Linked DNA regions of Alligator mississippiensis. The protein of the gene in region 2 interacts with the protein of the main gene of each other region in a biochemical or structural test. Links are inferred from orthologs where the notes say so. Each region holds a gene or a part of one and is shown on either strand. Other genes may lie near its edges.

What was found.
Region 1: of the proteins of IFIH1 (region 2) and TRIM65, one has a biochemical effect on the other in vitro, tested with the Homo sapiens proteins (2 studies listed by BioGRID, with this or other methods). The link is inferred for Alligator mississippiensis from reciprocal best matches to the Homo sapiens genes IFIH1 and TRIM65.

The regions. Positions count from the first base shown.
Region 1 is NC_081831.1:13,242,667-13,257,989, forward strand, and holds the start of TRIM65 (E3 ubiquitin-protein ligase TRIM65), read right to left. Parts: upstream 7,139-15,323; 5' UTR 7,070-7,138; coding exon 6,623-7,069; intron 5,192-6,622; coding exon 5,096-5,191; intron 4,979-5,095; coding exon 4,745-4,978; intron 4,600-4,744; coding exon 4,431-4,599; intron 1-4,430. UniProt on the Homo sapiens protein: E3 ubiquitin ligase that plays a role in several processes including innate immnity, autophagy or inflammation.
Region 2 is NC_081827.1:219,322,811-219,337,819, reverse strand, and holds the start of IFIH1 (interferon-induced helicase C domain-containing protein 1), read right to left. Parts: upstream 6,914-15,009; 5' UTR 6,788-6,913; coding exon 6,341-6,787; intron 1-6,340.

The DNA.
Region 1 (15,323 bases), on a different chromosome or scaffold from region 2:
TAGTCGGCGCACAGGAGGGAGATGGGCCGCCAGTTCTTCAGGCAGCCGAGGTCCCCCTTCTTGGGCAGCAGGGTGACCATGGCCCGGCAGCAGCTGGTCAGCAGGGTCCCGTCGGCGAGGCTTTCGCGGAAGACTCGGAGGAGGCTGGGCCCGAGGAGGGGCCAAAAGGCTCTGTAAAATCCCATGGGCAGGCCATCCAGGCCCGGGGCCCTGCCCGAGGCGAGCCCCCCCACCGCGGCCTCCAGCTCCGCCAGGGAGAGTTTGTGCTCCAGGGCCTCGGCCTGCGAAGCGCCCAGGTGCGGCAGGTCCCGATGCAGCTCTTGGGCGGCCCGCAGACAGACGGGCTCAGCTGCAAACAAGTCCTGGTAGAAGGCGACGGCATGCTGCCGCACTTCGCCCGGGTCTGTGAGCAGCCGGCCCTCCGGGGTCTTGAGGTGGTCCAGCGTCTTCACCACAGCCCGCTGCCTCTCCAGACCGAAGAAGAAGCCAGTCGGGGCGTCGGCCTCTGCCAGCTCCTGGCAGTGGGCCCGGACCCGCACGCCGCGGGCTGCGTCCTCCGCCAGCTCTTGCAGGCATTTCTTGCGGGAGCGGAGACTCTCGAGGAGTGCCACGTCGTTGCCCGCGCGGAGCAGGGCCGCCTCGAGCTCCGCCACGTCCTCCTCCAGCTCCTGGGTGCGGCAGCGGAGCTCGCTTGCCGCCAGCTGGCTATACTGCTGGCAGAACGCCCGGATCTGGACCTTCCCCACGTCCCACCACAGGCGCCGGGGGGGTAGTCTGCTCGCGCCGCCTCCCAGCTCCTCCAGAGGTGGGCGAAGCAGTCCCTAAAGCGGGTGTCCTGCAGCAGGCTGACGTTGAGGCACCAGTAAGGGGCTCGCGTGCGTGCTCTGCCAGGCAGGCTCAGCTCGCAGCAGACCAAGGTGTGGTCCCAAAGGCCCGACAGAACGATGCGGCTGCCATGCAGGAACGGCAGGTGGTGCTGGCCGATGTAGAGGTGGTCAAGGTGGGCCATGGCGAGCCCGCTGGCGCTCATCTTTGCCCAGGTGTACTGTCATGCATCAGTGTGGAGGACCCGCCAGGCATCGACGAGTTCTGCCACCTCCAGCACGGTCCGCAGCTTGCGGGCCGAAGGCAGGCGCGGTTCCGGCCCTGTCCAGACTAGCAGCGTGTCGACGGTACAGTTGAAGTCCCCGCCCATGAGGAGCAGGTCGTCCTTCTCACTGGCGTCATGCAGGAGGTCGCCCAGGGTCTCTAGGAAGGCGACCCTCTCTCTCCCGTCAGTGGGCACGTAGACGTTGACGAGGAGCAGGCTCTGGTGTGCCAGGGTGACGTGGACGGTCAGCAGCCGGCCGGGGACGACCTCTCGTGCCACTGCCGAGTTGTACTGCAGCTGCGGCGAGAGGAGGGTCGCCACTCCTGCGCTGAGGTTGCTGCCGTGGCTCAGGAACAAGCGGCCTCTCCAGGCGGCGTGCCAGTCGGCTTGAACGTACGCATCGCTGTGCGTCTCCTGGAGGAAGGCGATCACCAGGCGCTTCTGCTGCAGGCCCTCCAGGGCGGCCATCCACTTCACCGGGTCTCTGCAGCCGTTGGTGTTGAGCGAGGCAATTGTTGTAACCGCCATGAACAGGAGAAGAGGGAGGAAGGGTAGGCAGGGTACCGGTGGGACAGAAGGTGATGGATGCCGGGCAGAAAAACCGCGGAGACAGGGGAAAGGCCTAGCGTTGCCCCACCCTATTCCGCGGGCCCGCCTCGGCCCTACACCTCCCTCACCCGGGTCACCAGCTTCTCGAGCTAGAAGGCATGCTGATGCGTGCCTGGGTCCCGGTGCATAAGCCTCGCCGTGTTGCTAGCGGCGCGGACAAACTGCGCAGGGTCCAGGCACCATTGCCGGATACTCTCGGCCACGTTCCTCTGGCCCTTGGTGTGGTCCAAGAGGTTGAGACCTCCATAGCTGGGAGCCACCCAGGGGGGTTTCTCCAGAAGGAGGTGGATACTGCTGACTGAGAACCGGCGGGGCTGTACCCTGGGAGGGGATTTCCCGGTGAGACCGGTGAAAGTGCCCTCAATGGCCAGGCTCCCTAGCAGGCCCCCTCTCTATCTGGGTTGAGGACCGTCTCGGGGAGATCGATCCCCATCCGCTTTGGGGGGCAGATGTTGTCCCGCTCCCGGGGCTGCTTGCGGCGCTCAGAGGGCAGGCACTCCATCTCCTCCTCCTCCTCCTCATCAGCCTCGGCAGGCAGGGGAGCGGGCGGTGGGGTGGCAAGACTCTCCGCCGCCTGCCGCTGCTCGGGAGGCAGGCACTCAACCCCTGCCTTGCCACTCACAGGCCCCACTGGCTGGGATGGGGGCGAGGGGTTGCCAGACGTCTCTGGGACACCCTCAGTCGTGGTCGGAGGTGGCAGGGTTTCCGGAGGGGCAGGCAGAGCGGGCTCAGGTTCCCTGGCTGCCTTTTCCCCGGTGCTGTCTGAGACAGGCCCCGAAGGGGCAGGAGCTCCTTTAGACGCTCCTTTTTTCTACTTCTTGTTCTTCGCTTTTTGGGGAGTAGCTGGCACCTCCCCCGTAGGGGGCGGGCCAGGCTGCTTGGGTGTCGCCACCTCCAGGTCCACCACCTCGGTTGGGGCAGGGGTGGAGGGAGGGTCTCGGGTGCTCCACCTGACAGGGCCCCAGCGCCCGAGACTCTAGCCACCCCGGGGAGAACTGGGACAGGAAGGGACTGGGAGGACTCCCCAGCCCCTCCACCGGAAGAGGCATCCGCTACGACAGGGGCGGGAGAAACCTGGGAGGATGTCCCAGGCCCCCCTGGGTGGCATGCCACTGCCAGAGGGGTCGAGCCCCTCGGATGGAGCAGGGGTGGAGGGGGGCTTGGCAGGTCTCCCAACCCCACCCTTTGATGGGGGTCCCACACCCGAGGTGGATGCACCATCCTCCTGGGTGGGCGCAGCAGCCGGTGCCTCGGCTGACCGCCCTAACGGGCACTGGGCAGTTCGGTGGGAGCTGCCGCCGCAGCAGCGGCAGGAATTCCCACCCAGGGAGAAATACACCATGTAGGACCTCCCTTGCAGGGCAAAAGTCAAGGAGGGAGGCAGTTTCTGAGTGTCCCCATTGGGGAGCATGAACGCCTGCCTCCGGAAGGACAGGATCTGCCTCAGCTTGGGGTTCCTACTCCCTATGGTCAGCCTGCGCCAGGGGCTGGCGAGGACACCATAGTGCTCAACCGCGTTGGTGAGGTCCCAGTCTGACAGGTGCAGGGGCACGTTGGAGGCCACCACCCGCACTGCCAGGGTCTCCAGGGGTGTGACCAAGTGGTGGACCCCCGAGACTTCCAGCCCCGCCGCACACACCTCCCTAACCAGGTTGGGAGAGCTCAGATAGATAATGGGCACCGAATTGACCCGGGAGGCATACTACACACTCCGGCGTCCCAGCAGGTCCACCAGAGCCCCGGCGCAGTCCTCCACCGTGACGTGGAGAGGGGCATGCACCCGCATGCCATGGCTGAGAGGAAGGTCTGCAGAGACATCCCCATGCCAAGTGCCTTGGCTGCTGGCAGGCATCCCGGCAGGAGAGGGTTAACTCTCTCCCGGGAGGGGGAAAAAAAAAAGCCTCAGGCTGAGGCCAGGGACTGGGACTGGGACTGGGCTCAAAACGCCCCAAAATCGGCCTGAGGGGGGGCAGGGCAAGCCCCAAGGCAGGGGAGATGGCAGGGACCAAGGGAAGGGGCCCTGGGGGAGGGGGGCAGTAGGAATCACAGGGAGAACTCAGGCGGGGGGCAGAGACAAACGAGGCTGCCAGAGCCCAGGGGAAAAACGCTCAGAAAGCAGGGGGGGAAGGGGTCCCCAGGGACAGGGTGGGTAGAGGCAAGGTTTTTTGGGGGGGTGGGGACAGAAAAGGGGGGCACGGAGTGCAGGGAACGCACAAAAGGCACTCGAGCTGCAGGAGCTCAGAGGGGCTTCACCTGTCGGCTGCCATCTTGAAAAAAAATTCTAAATAAGAAAGCCATCGTGGGGGTCTCTGAGTTGTTTGCAACAAGAAAACTGCTCTCTTATTTTTCTTTAGCCTAAAAAAAGAGTGAAAACTATGAGCTGGCATTATCTAAGGGGTGCCTCAAGTCAATCCAAGGGTGTCTTGAGTCTAAAAAGGCTGAGAACCACTGGCCTAGGGTAAGTCTATAGGGGTTCGATCTTCAGGCAAACCTGCAACCTAAATATTAAATAATACTACTACTAAGGCCTGGGGTGGCCAAGTGACCCCACCTGGGGCCAAGTGCAGGGGGTGACATTCATGATGCGGTGCCTGAGCCACCCAAACACCCAGGTGCAGCATCTCTAGTACAGGGACCCTTCAGAGTGGGGACTCACGGAGCTGGGATGACACTGCCCCCACCAGTGCAACCTGTAGGCAGTGGGGGAAATGTCACCAAGGGCAGAGCTTACCTTTGGTTTCTGGGCCAGTGACCTCTGGGTTCAGGCACTTGGGCAAATCCTCCAACAACAGCCTAGAGACCTCAGTGAGGATTTTAGAGATGGGATCCACTTTGCTGGCAGCATTAAACTCGATGGCTGGCAAAGCTTCCAGGGTCTCAGAAGGGAGCTGCAAGAAGTCCTAGATGGGGCAGGAAGGGGAGAGGAAGGGCAGAGGGCACAGGTGTGTAAGGCTCCATGGCAGTCGCTCCCTCAATCCCTCTTCCTCTGGGTTGAAGGAGGCAGGACCTCCCTCCCCTCCCCTTGCTGTGGCTGGTTGTCAATACCTCCAGGAATATCCTGTCATCTGTGCAGGCCAGCAGGGCCCAGGCCTTCTCCTGGTGCTGGCTGAGGGTGGCCTGCTGGTGTTCCAGCTGGGCCCAGTTCTCCGCTACTTGCCCCAGGGCAGTGGCTTGCTCCTGTTCGATCCTCTCCACTGCCTGCCTCCGCTGCTTCTCCAGGGCTTCAATTATCAGGGCAAACTTGTTCAAAAACCCTGATTTCAGCTTTTCTGAAGATTCCTGGGCAGAAAAAGTCAATTGAAACAACAGGACAAAGAATCCACAGGCCAAGTAGGAGGGGAGGCCATGCTCAGGGCTGCAATCCCACGAGCCCAGCAGCTGCATTTGCCTGGATACCTTAATGTCTTCCGTTGTTTCCTCCAGTTTATGCTTCTCCTCCTCGATCTTTGCTGCCTCCTGTTGTGTCTTCTCCAATAACTCTTCTAAAAGGGCCTGAAAATGGAGTAAAGCCCAAGCTGTAACATAGCGGAGCATAGTTTTCAGCACTCGTGTAATACTTATCTCACATGAACCTCCCCCTGGCTGCTCAAGCCCCTCTCCACAGTGATGGCTCCCACAGCTTTCCACATCCCACCCCTTGTGCAAGGACTCTCCCTCTTTTCCCCTCATCACCAATACTAAACATTTAACACTTACATGGCGCTTGGCATCTGCGCATTTTGAGGCAGGTCAGAGAGGAGTGTCAGCATCCCCTCCTTGTTTGGCAGTAGTGCTCAACTGAAGCCATGAGAGCAGAAGTGGTTACGTGATTTTACGTGGTTACGTGATTTTACGTGGTTTCTGAGCCCTGGCCTTTGCACGGCACTGTCTCCCCTTCAAACTCACTACTGCCCCTCTGTGAATCCAAATACAAGGGGGTCCTCTTTTCCCCACACATGCTCTGGTCACTGCTCAGCTGATGCTGCTCAAAGGCCGCAGTGCTGGGCCGCTACGAGGCAGACCTGCACGTGGTCCTTCTACCTGTCCATGGAAAGGGAGGTCACTCCCTCTTGACCTTCCATGCAGCAGGTGTATCTGCCCAGCAGCTGACTCTGCTGAGCCAAGAAAAACACGGTAGTGCCTGATACTCCACTCCAAGGCATCGCTCTCAGAATCTGTATAGATGCAATGAGACCCACTAGCAGCTTCCCACCTAACACCTGCTATCTCAACCTCGAGATTCTCTGCAGGACATAACTCCCAGAAAGAAACAGGAGGGGTAACCAGTTTGGCAATGGGGATACACAGGGCTTCTCGCATGGAGTGAGCGGGAGATGGGGGAGTGCAGGATGCTGGTATAGGGGAAGGGGGACACGGGGCCAGGAGTCTGTGGCATGGCTAGGAAGGTTAAGGGCCCTGAGACTGGCACGGGTGGGAGGGTGGCAGACTGGGACCCATGGAGAAGACAGGCATGCAGGGCCCCTGCTGCGTGGAGAAGAGACAGTCATTCCAGCGTGTGCAAGACCGTAAGTAAACAGTATTCATTTTAAATCCCTGACCAGGACACTGCGACATTCAAATGCAGGAGCCCTGGAAAGTTCAGTCCAGATCAGCAAGGAGAAGCCTGACACTAGTAACCACTGCCCAAAAACAGCCGCTTGAGCTGAGCCTCTGGGTAGTGAAACAGTGGAAGGTCTCAAGATGCTTTAGTGTAGATGGGCTGGGATGCTGTCCTTTCTGGACTAAGGAACGGGCACATGTGCAATGCAGGCCCCACGCAGCAAGCCGGGGTCTGATGGAGAACCCTGGTGTCCCAGCCCAGGCTCTAGGCACAGCAGTGCCTGCACCCCGACCTCGACAGCACCCCTCTATCAGAGCTCGCCTCTCTCTCCAGGGCCTGACGGATGTGGGGCAGGTCCCAGAGGAGACCGAGCCAGGACCCACCTGCTTCTTCTTGCGCTCCTCCTCAAAAAGGACCCTGTGGTGGTCCAGGCACTCCTTCACGGTGCACACACAGCAGATGCACACCTTCTCCTCCTGGCAATACAGCTCCAGGGGCCGCCCATGCCGCGGGCACTTCCCCCTGTCAGCCGGGGCTTTCACGTCCGTGCTGGAGGCCTGCACCTCACCCGCCTTGACCAGCTCCACCACGCTGCAGAGCGACACGTTCTTCTTGAGCTCCAGCCGTGTCTTGAAGCCCTTCCTGCAGTCAGGGCAGGTAAACCTCTCCTCTCCCTGGGGATCCTCCTTTTCCTGCTTGTCCCAGTGGTTGCTGATGCACTTCTGGCAGAAATTGTGCCCGCACGGGATGGTCACAGCTTCCCTGAACAGCTCCAGGCAGATGGAACACACCAGCTTCTCCTCCAGCTTCTGGGACCCTGGGGAAGCCATCCTGCCCCAAGCCGGAGCAGCAGCCACCTAGGCAGAGCAAGGAACCTACAGGATGAGAAGAGGAAATGAGACTGCTGCTGTGTCAGGCAGAGGGGAGGGATAGGCACGGAGCCAAACCAGCTCTTAAAGACACACAGGCCTGGGCACTGTTCTCCGCATCCCAGCTTTGGCAGGTGGCTTGAGAGTTTTCCTCTGTCCTCAAGCCCATAGTTCCCATGCCCCAGGGCTACCCATAGCAAGGGGGCTTCTACACAGAGAAGGCTGCCCAGGTGGCTGTACCTGCTGCTTTCTGACTGCGGAGCAATTGGTTCAGTCTGGTAGCTGCTTTCTAGACCTTTGAAATGTTGTATTACCCTTTTGTGAGGCCTCTGTTTTGGGGTCGTTTTGAGTCTTTTGTTATAGTCTGGTTTTCTAATAAAATGTTTTATATAAAAAAAAAAAAATGCTTTCTAGACTTTGGTGAGTGTCTCTGCTCAGCCCTGAGGGCCAGGGGACAAGGCTGCCTCTTGCAAACCCAGCAGAGCCCTGCAGCCCCTCGCCACCCATTGCTATGCCCTCCAAGCCCTTCTGGAGGGGGCCCCCAGCTGCCAGGGCTATGGGGCCAGGGACCAGGTCTACAGCCGCCCATCACCCACAGCAATGCCCAAGCCCTGCCTGTCGCCCATGGGAGGCGGTCGGTGCTGCAGTGGAGCGGAGCACGAAGCCTGGTTCCCCCTCCTCCATGGGTGGCATGGCCAAAGCAGAACCCATGGGGGAGGGGACTGCCCGCGGTGGGCTGGGGATCCCCACCCTGCTGCCTTCCCCTCAGGCCTATGCAGCCCAGCCGGTGGGACCCCAGACCCCAGGACCTGGGGGCAGGGCAGAGCGGGGCTGGGAAGCTCCTTGCCACTGGGAGCCCTGCACTGTCCTGGTGAGGTGCCCTCTGCCCACCCAGCAGCAGCAGGGGCAGCAGCATGAAGTTGTGCCCCTCACTGCTGCCCGGTGGGCAGGGGCATCTTGCCATGGCAGTGTGCAGCTGCCAGCAGTTGCAAGGAGCTTTCCTGCCTGGCCCCGCTCTGCCCTCCCGCGCTGGGTCCCACCTGCTGCGCTGCAGAGGCTCTGGGGAGAGGGCAGCAGGATAGGAAGCCTGAGCCTGCAGCCCACATCTGCCCCTGCCCCATGCCCTAATCTGGGGGGCACGTGGTCCCACTGCCCCCTCCAGGAGTGCATGCAGCGGCAGGGAGCCAGCCTCCACCCCGATGAGCCGCCCGTGGCCCCGTCCTGCTCCTCGCCAGGGCTCTGCCTCAGTCTCCCCTCCTCCCCCTGCCAGACTTACCTGCAAGAGCTGCTCTCCAGCCTGCCTGACAGCCATGTGCGTGTGTGAGTGTGCACATGCACGTGGCCACCCTCCTCCCGCTCCCCCCGGCCCCTTGCAGGCTGGAAATCTGCCAGCCTGCCGACAGCTCTGCAAACATGGAAAATCCATGGGTTTCTCCGTTAAAATGTAAAATTCGCGTTTTTCTCAAATAAAAGGGAAAAGCTTCAGTTTTTTTTCTGGTTTTCCATGGGAAATAGAAAACCCAGATCCCTGCTAATCAGAGAAGCCACACTCTCTCTGAGATCCTTTGCAGACTTTCAATGCTGTACACCTGCCAGCTGCTGGCCTGGGGACCAAAAGATTTGGTTTGAACCACAGAAGTACTAGTTGCAGGCCAGCTTAATCACAGCACCCACAGGGTGCCGCCTCCTTCTACAGTGATGCACTGCCCCCAAGCCCTGCAGTGGCCTGAGCTGCAATGCAACATCCTAACATGATGGTGCATTTTCCCACCATGCTGCATCCAGCTGGGAAAGCAGAATGTCACCACCCGACTGTGTGTCACACATGCAAAATACCTGCCGTGTATCAGGGGAGTGCCTGGGCCTGTTCTTCGGGAGGTCCAAAGATGGCAGTGCCCATAGCTACCCCCTCTAGGCTGCAATGAATGACTGCGGTGCCCCAACGCAGTGGCAAGCAGTTCACAGTGTGTGGTGACAAACCAGCTGCTCCTTGCTAATGGAAGCATCATAGGGAGGGTGGGGAGTGAAAAACAATGGGCCGGGGGGCAGACAGGATGCAGGGGGGATACTATGATGATGGTTTTGGCCTAAGAGGTTTTACAGACATGGCAGGGAAGATACCTTTCTCCTTGACCTTGAATGACTTGGTGTAACTAGAACAGGGGCGGGCAATTCTTTTGGCTGGAAGGCCACTTAATGAGTTTTGGTGAGCTGTGGCAGGCTGTAAGAGTAGCCCTGCCCCCTGTTCACCACCTTGGGGCCAGAAGTCCCATCCCCTAACTCCTGACCTTTGCCACAAAAGTCCCTCCCCTTGCCCCCAAAAGTACTCCTGTGGGAGTGGGGGGGTACCACCACCTTGAAGCTGTGGCGGCCGAGCGCTGCTGCTGGGCTGTGGCCAAGAGCCCAGAACGTCAGGTGGGTACTTCGACAGGTGGAGTGGAATTAGGCACAGATGCGTATTGGTTGCAAATAGATTGTTACTTACGCCGCTGATGTGTGCAGCGCAGGAAGAAAACTGGCTTAAGTTGCACTTACAAACGTAACGAGGGCCCCTTGGAACGAGACGAGACGTTTTATAGATGGCTTATCAAGCATGCAGGGGAGGGGGTACGTAGGGAAGGTCGGTGATGGGGAGTTGTTGGTGGGTGATCAGTCCGCCAAGTTTACTCCAGGGTGCGTCAGGAGTTCTCCAACTTGGGCGGAAACTGCTTTTACTTTTATATGGTTGGTAAGCCAATCGTAAGTTGCCAAGTAGGAATAATTTGTAACCGGCCAATGGGTGGTGCTCATTTGAACGATGCGGCCGTTGGACTTGGCGGGCTTTTCTACTGTGGCAGAATTTTTACTGTGCCAATTGTCATGACCCAAAGGTCTGATTTTTTTTGTGTGTGCTTCGGCACTAAGAATTATCCCCGTGGGTTTGCAACTTCATTGCACGGAGGAGTTCTGCTGCGCAGAGAACCCGCGTGCAGGGGAGTGTTCCCGCCACTTTGCAGCGATCTTTGCAGGGTGCATTTCCTTTGCAACACAGAAATGCACGGTGCAAAGAGTTCCCGCTCATCGTATGTAAATTCGTGCCCCGCAATTGGCTAGTTCTAAATTATTCACACGTGGCGGCTAGCGATTGGCCTGCTAGCCGTATAAGAGGCTTGAGCAGTTTCCGCCCAAGCCGAAGAGGACTCCGCATCCATCTCGTGGGGACTCTGGGTGTGCGCGGCAGGGTAATAGAAACCCTGTGTGTCGCTCAGAGGGGTTTGGCGGCCTGATCCACCGCCCGCCTCTTCCCGTCTTCGAACGGAGCCTACTATAAGACGTAACGATGAGTTTAATGCGCGCTTGTCCTGGACATCCGGAGTTTGTCGTGTTCTGTCTGCGTGGAGCCTTGCAACCTCCACGTGTGTTCGTGTTTTTTGTTGTAACCGCAACTCAAGCAAGTTCTCAGCCTACACCATGATCATCTCGGTGTAAGTAAAACAATCTTAAAATCAACTGTTACGTGTCTGTGCCTAATTCTAGCTCGGCGCCCGCCCTCTCTGACCCGGCCTGCCCGGGCTGCTGGCCACAGCCCGCGTGCAGAGCAACGAAAGCGACCCGGGGTCTGACCCGGCGCGCACACCAATCACGAGGGCTTAGGGATTTTCCACTGTGCCGTAGGCATTCAACTAATGGGTTCTGACATGCCCCCTTGCCGATGGCACAGTTGGAACTAATTTGCTCATAAGCCGGTTAGGCCGTCATCGTCTTGTTTGGGGGGTTCATACGGCAAGTGGGTATATACAAAAGCAGATAATGAAATGAACCTGTTCTTAATGTACTTCATAAAACAACAACCGACACAAACACAAATTCACATACTAATGAGAGGGAGTAACAGGGTGATAAGGGTGTTAAGAGGTTTAGAAACCACGAGGATGTATCCCAGGCAAACCAGGCAAAAGGTCAGATAACCACCCCTGTCCGATACCTGAGATTCTATTTGTATCGGCAGTGACTTTTCGAATCGCATCGATTTGGGCGTTCAGGGATAGTGAGATGTTTGGAATGCTAATACAGCACATGTCACGGGACAGATTGAGGTACTGGCATAAGCCTCCTTGTTGGAGAAGTATTGCACGGGATGGGTTTATAATGCCACGTGGACATATTGCAGAGTGTGGGTCTGTGTCGGTCGGTCTCTGGAACGGTGATCAGGAGGACTTGTAACACTTGTTCTTTTAGCTCTAGGGCTTTGATTCTGGGGATTCCCAGGAGGCTGATGTCCCCTAGCACTGCCTCTAGAGCGCGACGGTGACCTTGGATTATAAACTTAACTTTTGTTGTGACTGCAACAGTGTTGAGTCCTTGAACCTTAATTGTTTCTGTGGTTTTCTGGTGGGCGTTGTCGGAGTGATTACGTTGACTTGGGCTCCGGTGTCGAGGAGGAAGAGCACTTTTCGTTGGTTGCTTTGGTCAACGGGGTCGTAGACGGTAAGTTCGGTGTAGGGGTGGAGGTCGGTAGGGTCGGGTTTAGGCTGGCTGCCGGTGTGGCCAGCGGCCACTACTTGTTTTTTGGTTTGTCGTAGAATTTGAAACCTAACTCGGCCGCTAGGTGTCGTTGGCCCTCATCTCCCAGTATACGCAGTTGCTGTTTCGTGAGTTTGGAGTTGTTTAGGAGGAACCCGAACATGGCCCTCTCCTCGGGTGACTTTTGAGGGATTGGCCACGGTTCCCGCTGGGGATCGAACTTGTAGCGTCTCGGGTTTTGGGGCTCAATCGGATATGTGGAGGGTGAGTTCGTCGCATCAGTTGAGGCCTCTGTTGCTAACTTCACGAGGGCTTGCAGCCGTGGGAGTTGGCTCAAGAGGGTTCCGGCTGGCTGGCCTGCTAGTGGGTTGAGGAGGAGCCGGAGTGTTATGGCGTTCTCTCCCCCATAGACTTCTACGCAGGCCTCTATAGCTTCGAGGGTTGCCGGGACGGCTCCAGGGTTTCTTAAGTGGCGGTGGGCCCATCCCCCATTACGCTGGGCCTGTGTTAGTCCCAGTTGATGCACTCTTGGATTCTACGAGGCATACGAGACTCCAATTATGGCTAATAAAAGCTGTTCTGCAGTGGCCCTTTGTGGCCATCCGTCGTGCCAGGCATGAGGCTTGTGATCAACTTACCCTGCGACAAGGGCCGGGAGCGGGATATTCCAATGGACGTTGCCTATGACTACGTTTAAGTCAGTGACGTGTCCTCCGCTCCATGAGGCTTGGCGGGTTAAGAAGCAAGCCTCTTCTAGGTCTAACAGGTTGGACCCAAACTCTACTATGAGGCGGCCTAGCCATATGACTAGCGGTTCGCCGGGTTTTATTTTCGATTCTTTACACAGCTCTTGTAGTTCCGCTCGAGTGCGGGTGCGGTATGTGGTGGTAGTACGCGTCGCGCCCTGAGCGTCAGTCACTTGTTTAACCAGGGCGACGGGGTTAGCGGCTACTGTCAGGGTTGCCGGAGCCTCTGGTGGGAGGGCTGGGTATAAAGTTTTGCTCTTGTAGGGAGGCGGGAACATTGGAGGCGGGGCAGGCTCGGGGGGTGGGGCTGCAGCTGACGCCACTTCGGGAGGTGGGGCCGTGGGTGGTGGTGTGGCTGTCCATCCCTCTTGGGGAATTTTCGCGCGCTTCTCTTTTTTCCCGGCGGCATCTTGGGATGGCGGCGGCTCGGGGCTTTCTTTTACTGCTGCCCCTTTAGCTGCCTGGGCAGCTGTGAGCAGTTGGGCCTCTAAGTTTGCATTTTCCCGCAGTAGAGTTGTGACAGTGCGGAACATTATGTTTAGCATTTTTCCCTTATCCCACTTTGGGCCTGCCCACCGTGTTGTGATGTGGCCTTCCAATTCTAACCTTCCCCGGAGATCGGAGAGCAACTCGTGGCCCCTCGACCCGGGCACTAGGGCCAGAGGATTGAACCTGTCAACCGGTGTCGGTTCTCCGCCCTCCCGCACATATCGTATACAGCGGGCGTACCGCGCCTGTCGGTTTGACTCTGGCAAGGGATATGGTGCCTACTTCCTCTCGGGGCCTAAATAGGACTCGCTCGCTGCTCATCACGCACCCGAATGCCCCGGGGTCAAGATGTGCCTCCCACTCTCTCAAAACTCCCTCTTCCCCTTTCAGCAAAAGGTAGCCGCTGACGAGCCTTTCACCTGCTCCGCCCGCCTGGTGATAGGCAATGTGTGCCCATAGTTCATCAGCGTTCGTCACGCGGCGCCCCCCACTGCGTCAGGGGCAGTTTTTAACTAGTTCCGACTCCATCGCATCTTCCCCAGATCCTGTTCGTGACGCCATGTGGCAGCCGAGCGCTGCTGATGGGCTGTGGCCGAGAGCCCAGAACATCAGGTGGGTACTTCGACGGGTGGAGTGGAATTAGGCACAGACGCGTATTGGTTGCAAATAGATTGTTACTTACGCCGCTGATGCGTGCAGCGCAGGAAGAAAACTGGCTTAAGTTGCGGTTACAAACGTAACGAGGGCCCCTTGGAACGAGATGAGCTATGGGGAGAAGTGGACACGCCAGAGGGCAGGGAACAGCTGCAGGCAGACCTGGATAGGTTGGACAAGTGGGAAGAAAACAACAGGATGCAGTTCAACAAGGAGAAATGCAAAGTGCTACACCTAGGGAGGAAAAATGTCCAGCACACCTACAGCCTAGGGAATGACCTGCTTGGTGGCACAGAGGTGGAGAGGGATCTTGGAGTCCTAGTGGACTCCAAGATGAACATGAGTCGGCAGTGTGACGAAGCCATCAGAAAAGCCAATGGCACTTTATCGTGCATCAGCAGATGCATGACGAATAGGTCCAGGAAGGTGATACTTCCCCTCTATAGGGCGTTGGTCAGACCGCAGTTGGAGTACTGCGTGCAATTCTGGGCACCACACTTCAAGAAGGATGCGGATAACCTGGAGAGGGTCCAGAGAAGGGCAACTCGTATGGTCAAGGGCCTGCAGACCAAGCCCTACGAGGAGAGACTAGAGAAACTGGACCTTTTCAGCCTCTGCAAGAGAAGGTTGAGAGGCGACCTTGTGGCTGCCTTTAAGTTCATCACGGGGGCACAGAAGGGAATTGGTGAGTATTTATTCACCAAGGCGCCCCCGGGGGTTACAAGAAACAATGGCCACAAGCTAGCAGAGAGCAGATTTAGATTGGACATTAGGAAGAACTTCTTCACAGTTCGAGTGGCCAAGGTCTGGAACGGGCTCCCAAGGGAGGTGGTGCTCTCCCCTACCCTGGGGGTCTTCAAGAGGAGGTTAGATAGGCATCTAGCTGGGGTCATCTAGACCCAGCACTCTTTCCTGCTTATGCAGGGGGTCGGACTCGATGATCTATTGAGGTCCCTTCCGACCCTACATCTATGAATCTATGAATCTGTGAGATATTTTATAGACGGCTTATCAAGCATGCAGGGGAGGGGGTACGTCGGGAAGGTCGGTGACGGGGAGTCGTTGGTGGGTGATCAGTCCGCCAAGTTTACTCCAGGGTGCGTCCAGAGTTCTCCAACTTGGGCAGAAACTGCTTTTACTTTTATATGGTTGGTAAGCCAATCGTAAGTTGCCAAGTAGGAATAATTTGTAACCGGCCAATGGGTGGCGCTCATTTGAACAATGCGGCTGTTGGACTTGGCGGGCTTTTCTACTGTGGCAGAATTTTTCCTGTGCCAATCACGAGGGCTCGGGGATTTTCCACTGTGCCATAGGCATTCAATTAATGGGTTCTGACAGAAGCCATAAAAGAAAACAAATCATATACTAAAAAAAAAAAAATCAAACATTGACTATAACTGATTTTAATTTGATTAAAAAATATATTTTTGTCCTGATTTGTGTGCGTTTGCATAGTGTATCTAGAGGCGATTGCATAATAGTTCAAACAACACTCTTACTCTTGTACATTGCTTGGGGGGGGTGGTTGGGGAGTGGGTGTGTATGTGGTGGGGTGCAGTGGAAGTATAGTGGGTGGCATGTGGGGTATGTGATTGGGGTGGGGGCTGTGGGAGGAAGTGTGTGGGGTTATGGTGGGGGGTATGGGAGTGTATGTGTGGATGTTTGGGGGGGGGGGGGGGTTCTCGGAGTCCCGGGAATGTGCCAGTCCCTGGATCTGCATGTGGTGGCAGCGTGAGGTGCCAGCCCCATAACACACAGCTCCTACCCCAGTCCCCAGCTGCATGTGGAGGCAGTGTGGAGCCAACCCCACATGGCCCAGTAGT
Region 2 (15,009 bases):
CCAGCGTGTGCACCCGGGCATTGGAGCGGGCGGTGGGGAAGGGGCCTGAGCAACCCCATCTCTCCCCCGCTCCTGGTATAGGGCTGGTGACTGGGCTTCAGAGCCCAGCCCAGCTGTTTAGGCAGCTGCAGCAAGCAGCAGGCAGGCTGCAAACAGCCACACCAGGCTCCACAGCTCTGGCATCAGCTCCATGCTGGTGGTGACTCCGCGTGCACCTTGGGCAGCTACCCAGAGCCGGGGCCGGGGCTGGCCATGGCGTGCCAAACAAAATGGCCTCGTGTGCTGGCGTAGGAGGTCCTCAAGTTCCCTGCTGAGAATATATATGCTTGACTTGAACTGGAATGTGCTGATTCTCCTGCTAGGAGCAAAGTCAGAGAGTCTTGGCTAGAGGGTCTTGCCCTTCACTCAGGATCAGACTGATTGCTGTATTTGGGATCAAGAAGGACTTTTACCCCATGGTCAAGTTGGCATATGGACTGTGGGAGTTTTTGCCGCCTTCTATAGCGAAGGTGTGGCCTCTACCTGGGAATCTCTGGAGCATATATTGATAACATTTCATAAATGCAGGACAGTTGCTCCCATAGTTCCCCTGCTTTACTTGTGGCAGGTTTGGGTGTTAGGTCTATGATATATGGTTAAATGGGATGGTTTGCATAGGGATGAAGCTGCCTGAGGCAGGGGATTGGACTGGGCGACCTCTAGGGGCCCTTTCCAACCCTACTTCTCTATGCTTTTATAAGTCTATGAGCCCCTGACAGTGGGGAGCAACAGAGTCTCTGTGGTGGTCTTTCCTACCCAAAACTTACTATTAAGCCAGTGCAGGTGGTAGAGCCTCTGGATGGCAGCCCTGGGTGAGACTCCCTTCTCAAGTGAGCAGGCTAAGAGGGAGCTCCCCAGGTTGGTTTGCCACTGACTGTGACTGTGATCAGTTCTGAGCTACAGTTAAAGGTTAATAGTTAAGGTTTTGCTTAGGGAGTACCACTGTTTCCCTTTTCCCTTGTAATAAACTTGTTTTAATTTAATATTTGCTAGTGAGTGAGCAGGTTTCTTTAAATTACAACACCCAGTTCTAAGTTACTTTACTAAGCTTCTGGGTGGCAGCTGAAGGTAAACATGAAAAGATGGTGAAAAATCCCTAGAAGCATCTATACACATGCTCCGGGGTGGAGTGTGGGGTGACACTTTAATTCGAATGGCTCTGACTCTAATTAAAGTGTCTGCAGCGTCACGTGTATTCAGCATTCCATGCTTAATAATAGCGATGGGGACACTTTAACTAAATCTTGTTCAATGACCTTTAGTTAAAGTACCCCCGCTGCTGTTCTGAAATGCAGGCACAGTGAATACACATGATGTGGAAGCTGGTGGAGCACACTAATAAGCACACTCCAGCAGACTGCCAGCAGGCTTGATTAATCAAGTCTGCTTTGACAGGTGCTAAATACCATGCATCAGAGCAGAGGTCCACCATGTGTATAAGTGCCCTATATTTGCATGCAACCATTCTTCCTGCTGTCCAGTGCCTGGTAGAAAAGTAATATACAGTCTTAAAGGCTGAGTGTCAACTGGCAGGCTCACACTCAAAAACATGCATTGGGTCAAGCACATGCCCAGATTTCTTTAGGAGGTTCCCTTGGTAGCAGGGATGTGTTTTGACATGATTCCAAGAAGGTTTTGCCCCATGATCCCAACAGAAGGGCAGCTCCTTAAATAGCACACAAGGATGGGGAGTAAATTGGAGCCTGGCAGGACCAAGCCGCACTTTGGGCTGGGCAAGACCCTGGTCAAGGATGTCCAGGAGGATCCCTCAGTGCCACAGAGGCATGGTGTAGGGTGGTCCAAGAAGGATTTCCATCTCTGATCCCAGCCCAAAATCAGTTCCCTATTTGAGCCTGTAACAGAGCACAAAGTATGCTCTGTTACTCACATATGCGTGGGCAGCAGCTATGTAGCCTGCAGCTGGTGGCAACTCCAGTTAGGCAGGACTGCCTGATTGAGAACAGGGCCCAGCTGTTTCCTATAAGAGCAGGGCCCTAAACAGCAGAGCCAGTAGTCTGCTGCTGGCAGCCGGAAGGACATCACTGGCTGGAGCTGCTGCTCACAACACCTTGGAGGTCTGGGGTGGGCTACGGGGATGGAAGGAGGTTCCCTGTCCTGGGTACAATAGAAAACTATACCCTGCTGGACTAGGATGGTCTGGTGGGGCAGCCCATGGTAGGGTAGTCCCTGGAAATGCCAGGCCAGTCACCTTGCCAGTGAAAGGCGAGTAAGGGGCACCTTATAACCCCAGCCCCCACATCCCTGGTGGGTAGTAAGACCAAGCAGGGGGAGCCCAGACTCACTGTGAGTGCTGAAGCAGGGCCCAGGTCAGGTAGGGGGACCTGAGGCAGCACCCAAATTCACAGTTGAGCTCTGAGGCTGCACTAGGGATCTGGGAATGAGGCTCCAGGGAGGTAGGAGCTATGAGTAGAGCTCCTGGGTCAAGGGGATAAAGGATTATAGCTCAGGGAGGGCAGGGGCTGGGGCTTGGAGCCCTGATCCCAGAGATGGGGCTTGGAGCCCAGAGACAGGGTTTGGAGCCCAGAATAAATGGTAGGGGCTGGGAGCATTGAGTTAAGGAGATGATGAGGGTCCTGAGCCAGACTGGGAGCTGGACAGTAATGATAGGGGGCTAAGAGCCCAAAGGAATACGAGTCGGCCGGGTGCTAGGCCATGGATGCCATCTGCAAAGCATGGGACACAGTAAGGGGAGGTCGGAGCTATGTGTATCAGTCCTTGGCATCAGGGCAAGTACATGGGCAGCCTCCTGCCTGATTAACATCATATAATCATTATCATCATCATCATCAAGGCATGGCAGGAGAAAACGGCAGGTGGTTAGCCCAGAAACAAGTAGGCAGGCCAATGACTGACTGGCCCTGGGACACCCGCTTGTTACAGAGCCCATACACTTAGTACAGTGGCTGGAGGGGTAGGGGGAGAGGGTGTCAGTTGGAAGCCTGGCATGGCCGAACTGTGCTTTGGGCCGGGTAAGACTCTGATCATGGATGTCTGGGATAGTCCCCTGGTGGTACAGAGGCAAGTTGTGGAGTAGCCCAAGAAGGATTTCCAGCCATAATCCCAGCCCAAAAGCCAGTTCCTTATTCGGGCCATTATTCTTAATGTAGTTGGCATGGCGGGGACGGGTGTCATTTAGCAACCCAGCAGAAACAACCCACACTTTGGGAATGGGGGGCTGTCAGTTGGCAGCCCAGCATGACCAAACCGCGCTTTAGGCCAGGCTGGACTCTTGTCAGAGTACTCTGGGAGTGTTCCCCGGTGCCACAGAAGCATGGTGTGGGCCGGCCCCAAAAAGTTTTCCAGCCAAAAACCCAGTTCCTTAGTTGAACCTATATACTTATTACAGTGTGCAAGGGAGGCTGTCAGTTGGCAGCCTGACACAGCCAAGCTGCGCTTTGGGCCAGGCAAGACTCTGATTAGGGATGTCTGCGAGTCCCCTGGTGGTACAGAGGCATTGTGTGGGGTGGCCCAAGAAGGATTTCTATCTCTAATCCCAGCCCAAAACCAGTTCCTTATTTGAGCCCATATACTTAGTACAGTGGCTGGGGAGGCTGGCAGTTAGCAGCCAGGCACAAAGAAACTGCACTTTGGGCCAGGCATGACTCTGGTAAGAGATGTCTGGGAGAGTCCTTCAGTGTCAGAGAGGCATGGTGTGGGGTGGACCAAGAAGGATTTCCACCAGTAATCTCAGCCCAAAAGCCAGTTCTTTATTTGAGCCCTGTAACAGGCATCGCTTCCAAGCCAAGTTGTGGCCCGCTCACCTGCTCCTGCGGCAACCGCCCGCCTTCTCGCCTGCCACATCTTGATGTTAATTAATTAATTAGCGGGAGGCTGCCCATTATAATGCCCCGATACCGGGGGGTGCTCTGCGGTTCCAACCTCCCCTAATACCGCAGCCCAAGCCTCGCAGATGTAAGTGCTGTCATCTCTCTTCTGCCCCCTTTTGGAGACTCACTATGCTGCCCCCTTTTTGGAGCTCCCTATGCCCACACCTGGGCTCAATCGCCCCTCTCTGAGGCCGGGGTCTATGCCCCTATAAACTGCGCCCTCACTGGCGTCTGGCTGTGCCCCGCTTGGGCTTACAAAATGGCCCCCGTCCTGGGAGCTCGCCCCGACCACGCTGGGGCTTCAGAAATGCCCCTCCCTAGGGCTGGGTCTATACACCCCGTATGCTGTGCCCTCCTGGGCGTCGGGGTCCCCGCACACTGCTGCAGGTCCTTATAAGTCCTACGCCCCCACTTGGGCTCAATCGCCCCTCTCTGGGGCTGGGTTCTATGTACCCTGCATGCAATCTGGGGTCTCGGTCCCCCGTCTGCAACCCGCCGGTTGCGCCCGCGACCCACTGGCCGCGCTCCTCACCACCAGTTGCTCACGCACTGGCGTGCGAGCTGCGCCTTCCCTGGCACTATTCAAATAATGCGCCCTCTTGGCACTAGGGCACCCCACACTCTCTGGGGTCCCTGTGCTTGAGGCCTCCTCCAACCCCTACAGCCTCACCCAAGCCTCCGGGTGTAATAACAGAGCCAAACAAACACAAGCCTCCTGGCTGTAACACAAACATAAAGCCCCCTGGCTAAACCTTTAGTGCCCAATCCTCTCAGGGCTATCAGGAGCTGTACTTGCCCCTCAGACTTCTCCCCATAGCTGAGCTGAGTGAGCTCCTGCCTCTCCGGCTGCTGGCTGAGAACTGCCAGCCTGGCCTCAGCCCTGGGCTTTATAAGGGCCAGGCCCTGCCCCCTTCTGGCCAGCTGACTCCCATTTGTTGCCCCAGCAACCTGCAGCTGTCCCCCTTATGTTCTGCCCAGGCTCTCTCCCAGGCAGCTTTCACTCCTTAGGAGCCAGGCACTGATGTGCCCTGCGACAAGCCCAGATACTTAGTACAATGGGAATGGGGGGCTGTAGTTGGCAGCCTGGCAGGGCCAAACTGCGCTTTTGGCTGGCCCAGACTTAGGTCAGTGACACTGATGTCCAGGAGAGGTCCCTGGTGGTACAAAGGCATGTCGTGGAGTGGCCCAAGAAGGATTTCCAGCCATAATTCCAGTCCAAAAGCCAATTCCTTATCCAAGCTATTATGCTTAGTACAGTGGGCTTTCAGTTTGCAGCCTGGCAGGGCCAACCCGTGCTTTGGGCCCGGCAGGAGAGTGCTCAGGCTTATTTGGGGAGGTAGTGGTATCAACAGGAGGTTTGGGTTGGCCCAAGAAGTATTTTGCCCAATAATCCCATCCCAACTTTATCGTCGTTTAAAGCTCTGTATTTGATATAGGATATTGTTTTACATATTAATCAGTTACTGTGCATAGCTAGTGAAATTCTCTCTCTTTAGAACGTGTTATTCATTAATAACAAGCTTTTGGCTACAGATTATCTTTGAAAATGGAACTGGGAGCCAGGAATAAGGAACTGGCAATAAGGAACCAACTGCAGCCAGTGAAGAAGAGAAAACACCACTAGTTTATTGTTCCAAGGCCTTGGTGATCCTGAGGCCAGGTAACAGGTTGAGGGAGCAGGTAAGGCTAAGCCCTGTCCTCCTCTCCTGGCACCTGGGAACTAAAGACAGTATTGCCAGGTCTTCAATATGAAATTAATTGTATTGAAAGCTCAAAATGATCGTAGTTGTTAAAAACCTATTGCACGCTGAAAAAATATGCAAAGAAGTATGCAATAAGTCTCCTTTCTCACTTTATATTGGTCAGTGTAAGACACCACCCATGGAGTGAGAGTTGGGTCAAAGTTGAGGCATTTATTTATTTGGAGGCAAGCAGTCATAAGAAGTGCTGACAGCAGAGCCGGAAGTTGGCAGGGAAAACACCATGATCACCAGGCTGGTTCTCCCACGGACGGGGGATAACCGCTGCTCTGGCAGAGGTAATGTATAGTTACCCTCCCACTTTCATTTCCCTTGGGAAGATCTTGGCTTTATGCTGACTTCATGGAACTGGGAGACTCCTCCCTAGCTCGCCCCTGCGGCCTTATGGGGAAGGGGCACCGGATCGGCGCTTGAGCCGGCCAAATCATTTGGAAACATCTGAAGCCCCAGGTGGGGATGGAGGATGTTTGAGGGCAGTAGGACCATACCTGGTTCTTGGAATCGATCTGGCTGGGAAGAACAATTTTCCTTAAAAAATAAAAACAACCCCCCTCCCAGAAGTTGGCTAAGACTCTCTGAGGGTGACTTGGCTTTTGCACACGCAGCATCAACTAGCTGCCTCGGAAAAACGACGGTGCATGTTGAACGCTTTTTAGAGGGGTGGACATCCCCAGGCGCCGGCCCGCTACCTACCCGCTCCCTGTCGTCCTCCGTGGCGAGGCCCGCCTGCAGGCAGCTGTCGGCCACCGGCCGGGTCCGCAGCCGGTCCACGAGGGAGCCGTGCAGCACCTGCAGCAGCGCCACGCACAGGTCGTGCTCGGCCTCCTCGGCCGGGGACGGCAGGTCGCGCAGGCTGGGGTTGGCGTAGCTGGCGGCCAGGGCGCAGCCGCCGAGCTGCAGCGCGGTCACGAAGGCGGCGAACCAGCCCGGCGTGTGCGGGCCCCGCTCCACGGCGCGCAGCAGCAGCTCGGCCGCCGCCGGCTCCCCGTGCTGCTCGGCCGCCGCGCGGATGCGCTCGCGCTCGGCGCCCAGCTGGGGCAGGTGGTCCAGCACGGGCCCCGTGCGCAGACCGGCCTTGATGCGGGACCTGAAGCAGGAGATCATGTCGAGGTAGCGCTCGTCCTGAGTGCTCTCCTCCATGGCGGCTCCCCAGCTTCTGCGGCGTCCCGGGCGGCGCCGGGGCTTATCAAGGCTCCGGTCGGCGGTTTCGGTTTCAATTCTTGCGGCACAGCTGCTGCCGAGGCGCCGCCCCGGTCCCGGCGCTGGGCGGTCCAGAGGACCTGCTCTGGTTCCTTCTCAGAGGCCCGCGCTGCACCGGGTAGCTTGGAGAAGTCCCCATTGCCGGCGGAGGGAAGCCGGCGCAGGTTGGGAGGATCCTAGCTCTGCAGAAAGCAGGGCCCTTCTGTCTGCTGGCTATTGCAATCTTATGATGGGAAGTTTCATTGTTATCAATTATGGCTTCCTGCTGGAGTTTGGACAATCTGTTGGACAGGGGTGACTGGCGCCTTCTGAGTCTGGGGGGCCCCATATCCACTACTATACTCCTGTGCCACAGCCTAGTGCCCCCACCCCAACATGCCGCTGGCACACAGGGCAAAAAACTGCTCTGTCCTGAGCAGTGCCAAGTCAGGGGCCAGCCTCGGGGGGGGGGGGCATGTGCTGCCCCCGTGTCCCCCCTTACCAGTCGCCTGTGCTGTTGGATAATCCAGGCCCAGGCCATTAAACATCTCAAAGACATGGGCAGAGACTTCGAACTTGCCTTATGGGAAACCAGCATAGGAAAGAACACAGCCGATATCCCCTCCCCAAAATTCCCCTAGAAGGTTGAAAAGGAGGATGCAAATGGTGAGGTGCTGTATCATAGTATCTTAGTTGGTAGGGTCGGAAGGGACCTGAGCAGATCATCAACTCCGACCCCCTGCATAGGCAGGAAAGAGTACTGGGGTCGTTTAGCAAGGTGTTCGTCTAGCCTTCTCTTAAAGACCCCCAGGGTAGGAGCCAGCACCACTTCTCTTGGAAGTTGGTTCCAGATCCTAGCTGCCCTGACTGTGAAGTAGTGCCTCCTGATGTCTAGCCTGAATCTACCCTCTGCCAGCTTGTGACCATTATTTCTTGTCACTCCTGGTAGTGCTCGGGGGAACAGGGACTCCCCCAAAGTCTGCTGGTCCCCTCTGACTAGGTTGTAAATGGCCACTAGATCCCCCCTCAGCCTTCTCTTGTGGAGGCTGAACAGGTTCAGGTCCCTTAGCCTCTCCTCGTAGGGCCTGCCCTGCTGTCCTCTGGTCATGCAAGTGTCCCTCCTCTGGACCCTCTCCATGTCCACATCCCTCCTGAAGTGCGGCACCCAGAACTGAATGCAGTACTCCAAATGCGGCCTGACCAGTATCACATAGAGGGGGAGGATCACCTCCTTGGACCTACTTGTGATGCATCTGTGGATGCATGACAAGGTATGGTTGGCCTTCCTGGCCATGTCCCCACACTGTCGGCCCATGTTCATTTTGGCATCAATAATGACTCCAACATCCTTTTCTGCCTTGGCACTGATGAGAAGGGAGTTCCCCAGCCTATAGGTCTGCTGCTGGTTCTTTCTCCCCAGGTGCAGCACCTTGCACTTGTCAGTGTTGAAACCCTGTTTTCATCCACCCACCCCTGTAACCTGTCCGGGTCCGATTGCAGCCTATTCCTCCCTTCTGGCGTGCCCACTTCTCCCCACAGCTTAGTGTCATCCGCGAATTTGAACAGGGTGCTTTTTACCCCCTCGTCCAAGTCACTGATCAAGATGTTGAACAGTGCGGGCCTGAGGACTGAGCCCTGGGGGACCCCACTGCCCACATCCCTCCAGGTTGAAAATGACCCGTCCACCACCACTCTCTGGGTGCGGCCCTCCAGCCAGTTAGTGACCCATCTGACTGTGTAGGTGTCGACACCACAGTTTCCTAGTTTTTTAATGAGGATGGGGTGAGAGACAGTGTCGAAGGCCTTCCTAAAGTCCAGAAAGACTACTTCCACCGTGACACCTGCGTCCCAGGATTTTGTGACCTGGTCACAGAAGGCCACCAGGTTGGTCTGATAGGACCTGCCTCTAATGAACCCGTGTTGGTTGCCCCTAAGTCTAATCTCCCCTGCTGGCCCCTTGCAGACATGTGCCAGGATAACTCTCTCAAAAAGCTTATCCAGGATCAAGGTAAGACTAACAGGCTTATAGTTTCCTGGGTCCTTCTTCCTCCCTTTTTTGAAACTGGGAAACACATTGGCCCTTTTCCAGTCCTCTGGCACCACACCAGAGCACCACGAGTGCTCGTAAAGCTGTGCCAGGGGTCCCGCAATGACCTCTGCTAATTCCCTCAGCACTCTGGAGTGGAGATTGTCAAGACCTGCTGATTTAAATATGTCCAGTCCCTCCAGAAGTATCACATATACAATAACATATTTTTCTCCAGTTAAAAGTAAACTAGAAGCTTTACAAATATGCCAGGGACCTAGGGCAATATTTTTCACTTTAAGGTTGAAAAAAAACAAATATAACTTTAATGGAATGAGTTAAAAACAATCTGCAGGGCTGTGAAATAGGAGCTTCCTTACCAGGAGCAGCTAACAGACAGCAGATTTGCAGAAGAACGGGCAGCTTGATCATGGAACCTCAAGACCATTAAAAAGAAGAGAGGGTCCTTAACACCTGTGGAATGAAATATTTAGAAGGAATCGGGTAGATTACAAGGGGGGTAAGAGTGCTCAGAAACCCCCTTGGCTCAGCAGGGGCATTCAGGAATTCCTGAAGACTAAAAAGGGGGCGTACAACCAGTAGAAGGGAGGAGCTATCACCAAGGAGGAGTACTCCTCCTCGGCCCAGGAGTGTAGGAGGGCCATTAGGAAGGCCAAGGCAGAGATGGAACTCAGGCTAGCGTCCAGGATTAAGGACAACAAAAAGTCCCTTTTTCAAGTACATTGGGAGCAAGAAGAAGGCACCAGGCAATGTAGGGCTCCTGCAAGACGCAAATGGTAATCTTGTGGCTACACCAGACAAGAAAGCTGATATTTTTAACAGTTTCTTTGCCTCTGTTTTCTTGAACAGGGACCGGGACATCCCACCTACCAGAGGTAGGGACAATCTTGGGGATAGCTCTGTCAGACCTTCAGTCAGAGCAGATGTAGTTAGGGATCTTCTGGAAGGGCTAGACATTTTTAAATCTGCAGGTCCAGATGCCCTCCACCCAAGGGTGTTGAGGGAGCTGGCAGGGGTCATTGTGGAGCCCTTGGCCCGGCTGTATGAGCATTCGTGGTCATCTGGCCAGGTGCCAGGGGATTGGAAACTGGCTAATGTGGTTCCAATTTTCAAGAAGGGGAGGAAGGAGGACCCAAGTAACTATAGGCCTGTAAGCCTCACCTCGGTGCTCGGGAAGATCTTGGAGAGAATCATCAAGGAGCACATGTGTGGGGAGCCAGCAGGGGAGATCATGCTCAGGGGCAATCAGCATGGGTTCACCAAAGGCAGGTCCTGTCTGACCAACCTGATTGCCTTTTATGACCAAGTAACTAAATCCTTGGATGATGGTGTCACTGTGGACGTAGTCTTTCTAGACTTTAAGAAGGCCTTTGACACTGTCTCTCACCCCATCCTCATCAATAAATTAAGCGACTGTGGCCTTGATGCCTACACGGTTGGATGGGTAAAAAATTGGCTGATGGGGCGCACCCAGAGTAGTGGTGGATGGGTTGTACTCAACCTGGCGAGATGCGAGCAGTTGGGTACCCCAGGGCTTGGTCCTCGGGCCTGCACTGTTTAACATCTTCATCAGCGACTTGGACGAGGGGGTGGAAAGCACGCTGTCCAAGTTTGCTGATGACACTAAGATGTGGGGCAAGGTAGACACACTTGAAGGGAGAGAGAGGCTGCAACTAGATTTAGACTACAGAAGTGGGCAGACAAGAATAGGATGGGGTTCAACGTAGACAAATGCAGGGTGCTGCACCTTGGGAGAAGGAATCCACAGCATACATACATACAGGCTGGGGAGTTCCCCTCTTGAAAGCACAGAGGCGGAAAGAGATCTTGGAGTCATTACTGACTCCATGATTAACACGATTTGCCAATGCCAGACTGCAGCCAGCAAGGCCAGCCATACCTTGTCATGCATCCAAAGGTGCATCTCAAGCCGGTCCAGAGAGGTGATACTCCCCCTCTATGCGACTTTGGTCAGGCTGCAGTTGGAGTACTGCATCCAGTACTGGGCGCTGCACTTCAGAAGGGATGTGGACAACATAGAGTCCAGAGGAGGGCCACTAACATGATCAGGGGCAGCAGGGCAGGGCCTATGAGGAGAGACTGAGGGACCTGAACCTGTTCAGCCTCAGCAAGAGGAGGCTGAGGGGGGGCCTGGTAGCTGCCTACAAACTCATCAGGGGAGATCAACAGCAAATAGGCAGAGCCCTTTTCTCCCCAGCACCACCTGGGGTGGCAAGGAACAATGGTAATAACCTGATGGAGAATAGGTTTAGGTTGGAGCTCAGAAGGCAATATTTTAAAGTTAGGGTGGCCAAAATCTGGAACCAACTTCCCAGGGAAGTGGTCCTCGCCCCTACCTTGGGCAAATTCAAGAGGAGGTTGGATGATCACCTGTCTGGGGTCTTGTGAACCCAGCATTCATTCCTGCCTGTGGCAGGGGGTCAGGCTAGGTGATCTGTTCAGGTCCCTCCTGACTCTAGCTACTATGATACTATGATACAAAGAGACCTAAAGTCAATTGACTCCCTCAGCACAGCCTGACTAGAAATGCTGCTGTCCGCCAGTTGACTTTAAACCTTGGGTGGAACAGAAATCAAAAGTGGGGGGGTGCAAGAGCAGCAGTGTAACCCCCGCCCCCTCCCATCTGCCCGTCTCAGTAGTTTATGGATACTCAGTCTTCTTTTAATGACAGCTGAGATTCTTATGCAACTGCTTGACTCCAGCACTTGAGGGTTTTTTTTAAATTCACTAAAAATCACAGGACTTGCAAAGAAGTCATTGGGGCTGTGCATCACCGATTATGGGTGTACAGAAGAACACAAAAGACACAAGAGAAAAAAACCCTGTTAGTGGTACATCTCCACAGTACTGTCTGTAAAACAATGCTGTGATTATCTATATCTCTGCTGGAAAATCTGAAATCATTTGACTGTTAGAGACTTTATTAGATTATTTAAATATGAATATGCACCCAAAATTAGGGTTTGTGTTTTAAAGGATTTCTTGTCATTTTTAGGTAAGAAAAAACCCCACAAAACTTACTGTTCTGTCCAATTCAGAGTGGAGATGTGGAAGTGAAGGGAAGGTGCTATCCCAGGGTGTAGAGTACCCCTCCAGAACTAACCTACCTTTTCTTGTACATGTGTGCACACATATTGGGGATACTTTGTTTAGTAAGAGTAATCAAAAACACTTAAGCCCTATTCCTTCAAGAGATTAACACAAATCCATAAAGAAGGATCAAGTGCTAAACATTTTACATGATCTTTTTTATTGTTTGTTCTAAATTGATTGATTTATCTGATTGTTATATATGGAATCCATAAATACTAACTTTTTAGAATATTTGTGCCTCAAAATGTTCATTGTTAAATCAATTACTAATTAACATAATCACAAACCCATGACTTCCAAGAAAAATCTGATTTGCCACTGAAAAAGGCATACTGATTTTCACCTAACATAACTTTCCAAAAGCTAGTGTTAGCATTTTAATCTTTTCTACTGGTATTTGTGTATTGTAATTACAACCAAAATCTCAGCTCCCCTTTCACATTTCTGCACTCACATCAGTATTGAAGACTGCCAAGTATTCTTGGTTTGTAAATGCCAATTAGGAGTTCTAGTTTAGGTGACCAATTTTGAATATCTATAAAAAACACAAGCTTCTACATAATATTACTTTCTAGTATTGCCATTCAAGTCACTCTTCAGTCCTTTATGTCTCAAATTTCCTCAACTATAAAATATTCTAATAATAGTATTCCAGTGTACATTATGTGGTTTAATTTGTATTTGAAAATCACTTGGTGCCTTTGGTGAGAAACTCTGGGTCTTATTCAAAGCCTGTTGATGTCTGAGTTTCTCCATTGATTTTAGCAGGCTTTAGATTTAGCTCAGTATAATGTTGGAAAACATGTTTAGTCTAGGACAATAATTAGACACAGACCTGGAAATTCCCTCTTAATTTTTATATTCCTTTGTGTTCAGCTTTTTTCACTGTTTGGTTTCTCTGCCCCGGATCTACGTGTTCCTTTCATTTTCCTTTCACAATCATTAGCTACGTAGTTTTAATTACTGCCTTTATTGACCTCTTTTTATTTCTAGTTTTGCTTCAATTTTTCTGGAAACTACTTTCTGAAAGATTCCCAAAGCTTGCTTTTTTCCTTTCTCCAATATGTTACCATCACCACCAGTCATTGCACCAGCCTTTTGTTTTTACATTTTTTGATTTAGTCATTTTCCTTCACAATTTGGAGCGGAGTTCTGTTTGAAGATCCTTGTTGCTAAGTAACATCTTCACCTTACTTTTTCTGAGCAACCTAGTTGGTGTACTACCCCCTATTAGCACTGACACAAGTCATTATTCCTGGAATAGTGCTGTAGGGAGATAAACATCACAGTCAGATTTTTAAAGGTATTTAAGCACCTCCAGATTCTGATACAGGCCTAGTGGGATTTTCAAAGGTACTTAACTCCAATTAAAATCAGTACAGGCTTCTCCTTGTAGCACTACTTACACTAGTTAATGGCAAGAGAGAATGATGGATCACTGGCAACAACATCAAGTCTGGGGCAAAACTAGGAAGAGCCTCTCCCCACAGGACTTGGGGGAGATCCTGCTCCATGTGCCCCTCAGTGGGAGGACAGGTTGAGAACATAGATGTAAGAGGTGCAGTGGAAGAATGCAGTGGCTTTCCCCTCTTACCACAACATGCAACTTACCTTAACACCAAGTAGGATTTGGCTCTTTATTGTTCACTTCAGTTATTTTGGCATCTACTAAAGTTACCCTTGTGAATCCAAGCAACAGGAGGAAATGTGGTGTTTTTAGCATTCATGAATCAAATAGGCATGGCCAGAAATTTTATGGGACAAAGAAGAAGCACTTCTCTAGCGAAAGCATGTTAGCTTTCTCTCTCTACCAAACAAAAAGGTCTGCATCTTTTGGGGAGGAAGGAGGAAAAAGACAGCTCACAAGAATCTTTTATAACGGAACACATTACATTTAAAATAGGTTTTTTAGATTGTTGAGGTTGCAAAGTCAAGCACTCAAGAGTTAGGAAAACCAGAAAGTCCCGAATTTTAACAAGCAGGAACTTCTAGTACTTTCACACTTACTGCTGCCCTTTGAACTAATAAGGCACATCCAGATGAGTGGGAACATGTGCTTTGCAGAGCCTCATACGTTTTTGAGGCACTGCAAGATGCATGCAGCGCATGTGAAAAGGTTCTCCGTGCTGCATATTTGGAGCCCTGGCCTGGCTCATTGCCAGTGGCGGGTGCACGTGTGCCTCGAGGCAGAAGGAAGGAGCCAGGGCAGCGCTTTCACAAGGACTGGGCCCTCACGGCTCTCCCACCATCTGCCCTGAGGCATCCATGCCATGCAAAATGCCAAGCAAAATGCTTTTACATGCCATGCTCTGGGTAAGTGCCAGGGGTTACCTAGCCCTCCTCTGGGGTTTGCTTCCTGGTGTAGGGAGGAGAACTCCCTGTTCTCAGTGCCTGGGTTTGTGCCTTGACCTTGCAAGCTCTAAAACAACTCGAAACAGAATTTGAAGACCTGCTCAATCCCTTTTCCCCAGCTCATGCACAGGTATCAAAGCACATACAGAATCTTCAGGAAAATAAGCTGTTGAGATCTAGCACTTCCCTACTGAGCATTTGCAAACTGATGTTTTTACGGATTTACAACTTTTTGCTTATTTATTTTGGTCTCTTTTGTAGGCTGCTCTGAGATTTTGTTGGCAAGTCCTTTCTCCAACTTGCTTCTGCTCCACGCTCACCCGGCACGGGAAGCAGCACCATGATGCCCAAGGTGGTGTTCCTACTGGCGGGAGGGGGAGGGACAACCACTTTCTTGGCAGGGAGAAGGTGAAGGTGACAGAGCTGTTCAAAGAAATGGTCTTTCTGAATGTTTTAAAATGGACAAAATATAGATTTTCCTTAGCCACATTTTCAAAAACAACCACACTTCATCTCTCAAATCCCTCACCCCTATCCTTAAGTCCCATCCCCATCCCTCTTAAAATGCCCTAACCTTATTTCAACAGATCTATGGATTCCAAACAAAGCCTTTCTGGCTGCCTCAGTCTAATAAGACTAACTACTCGGTATAATGACAAATGTCCTGTCA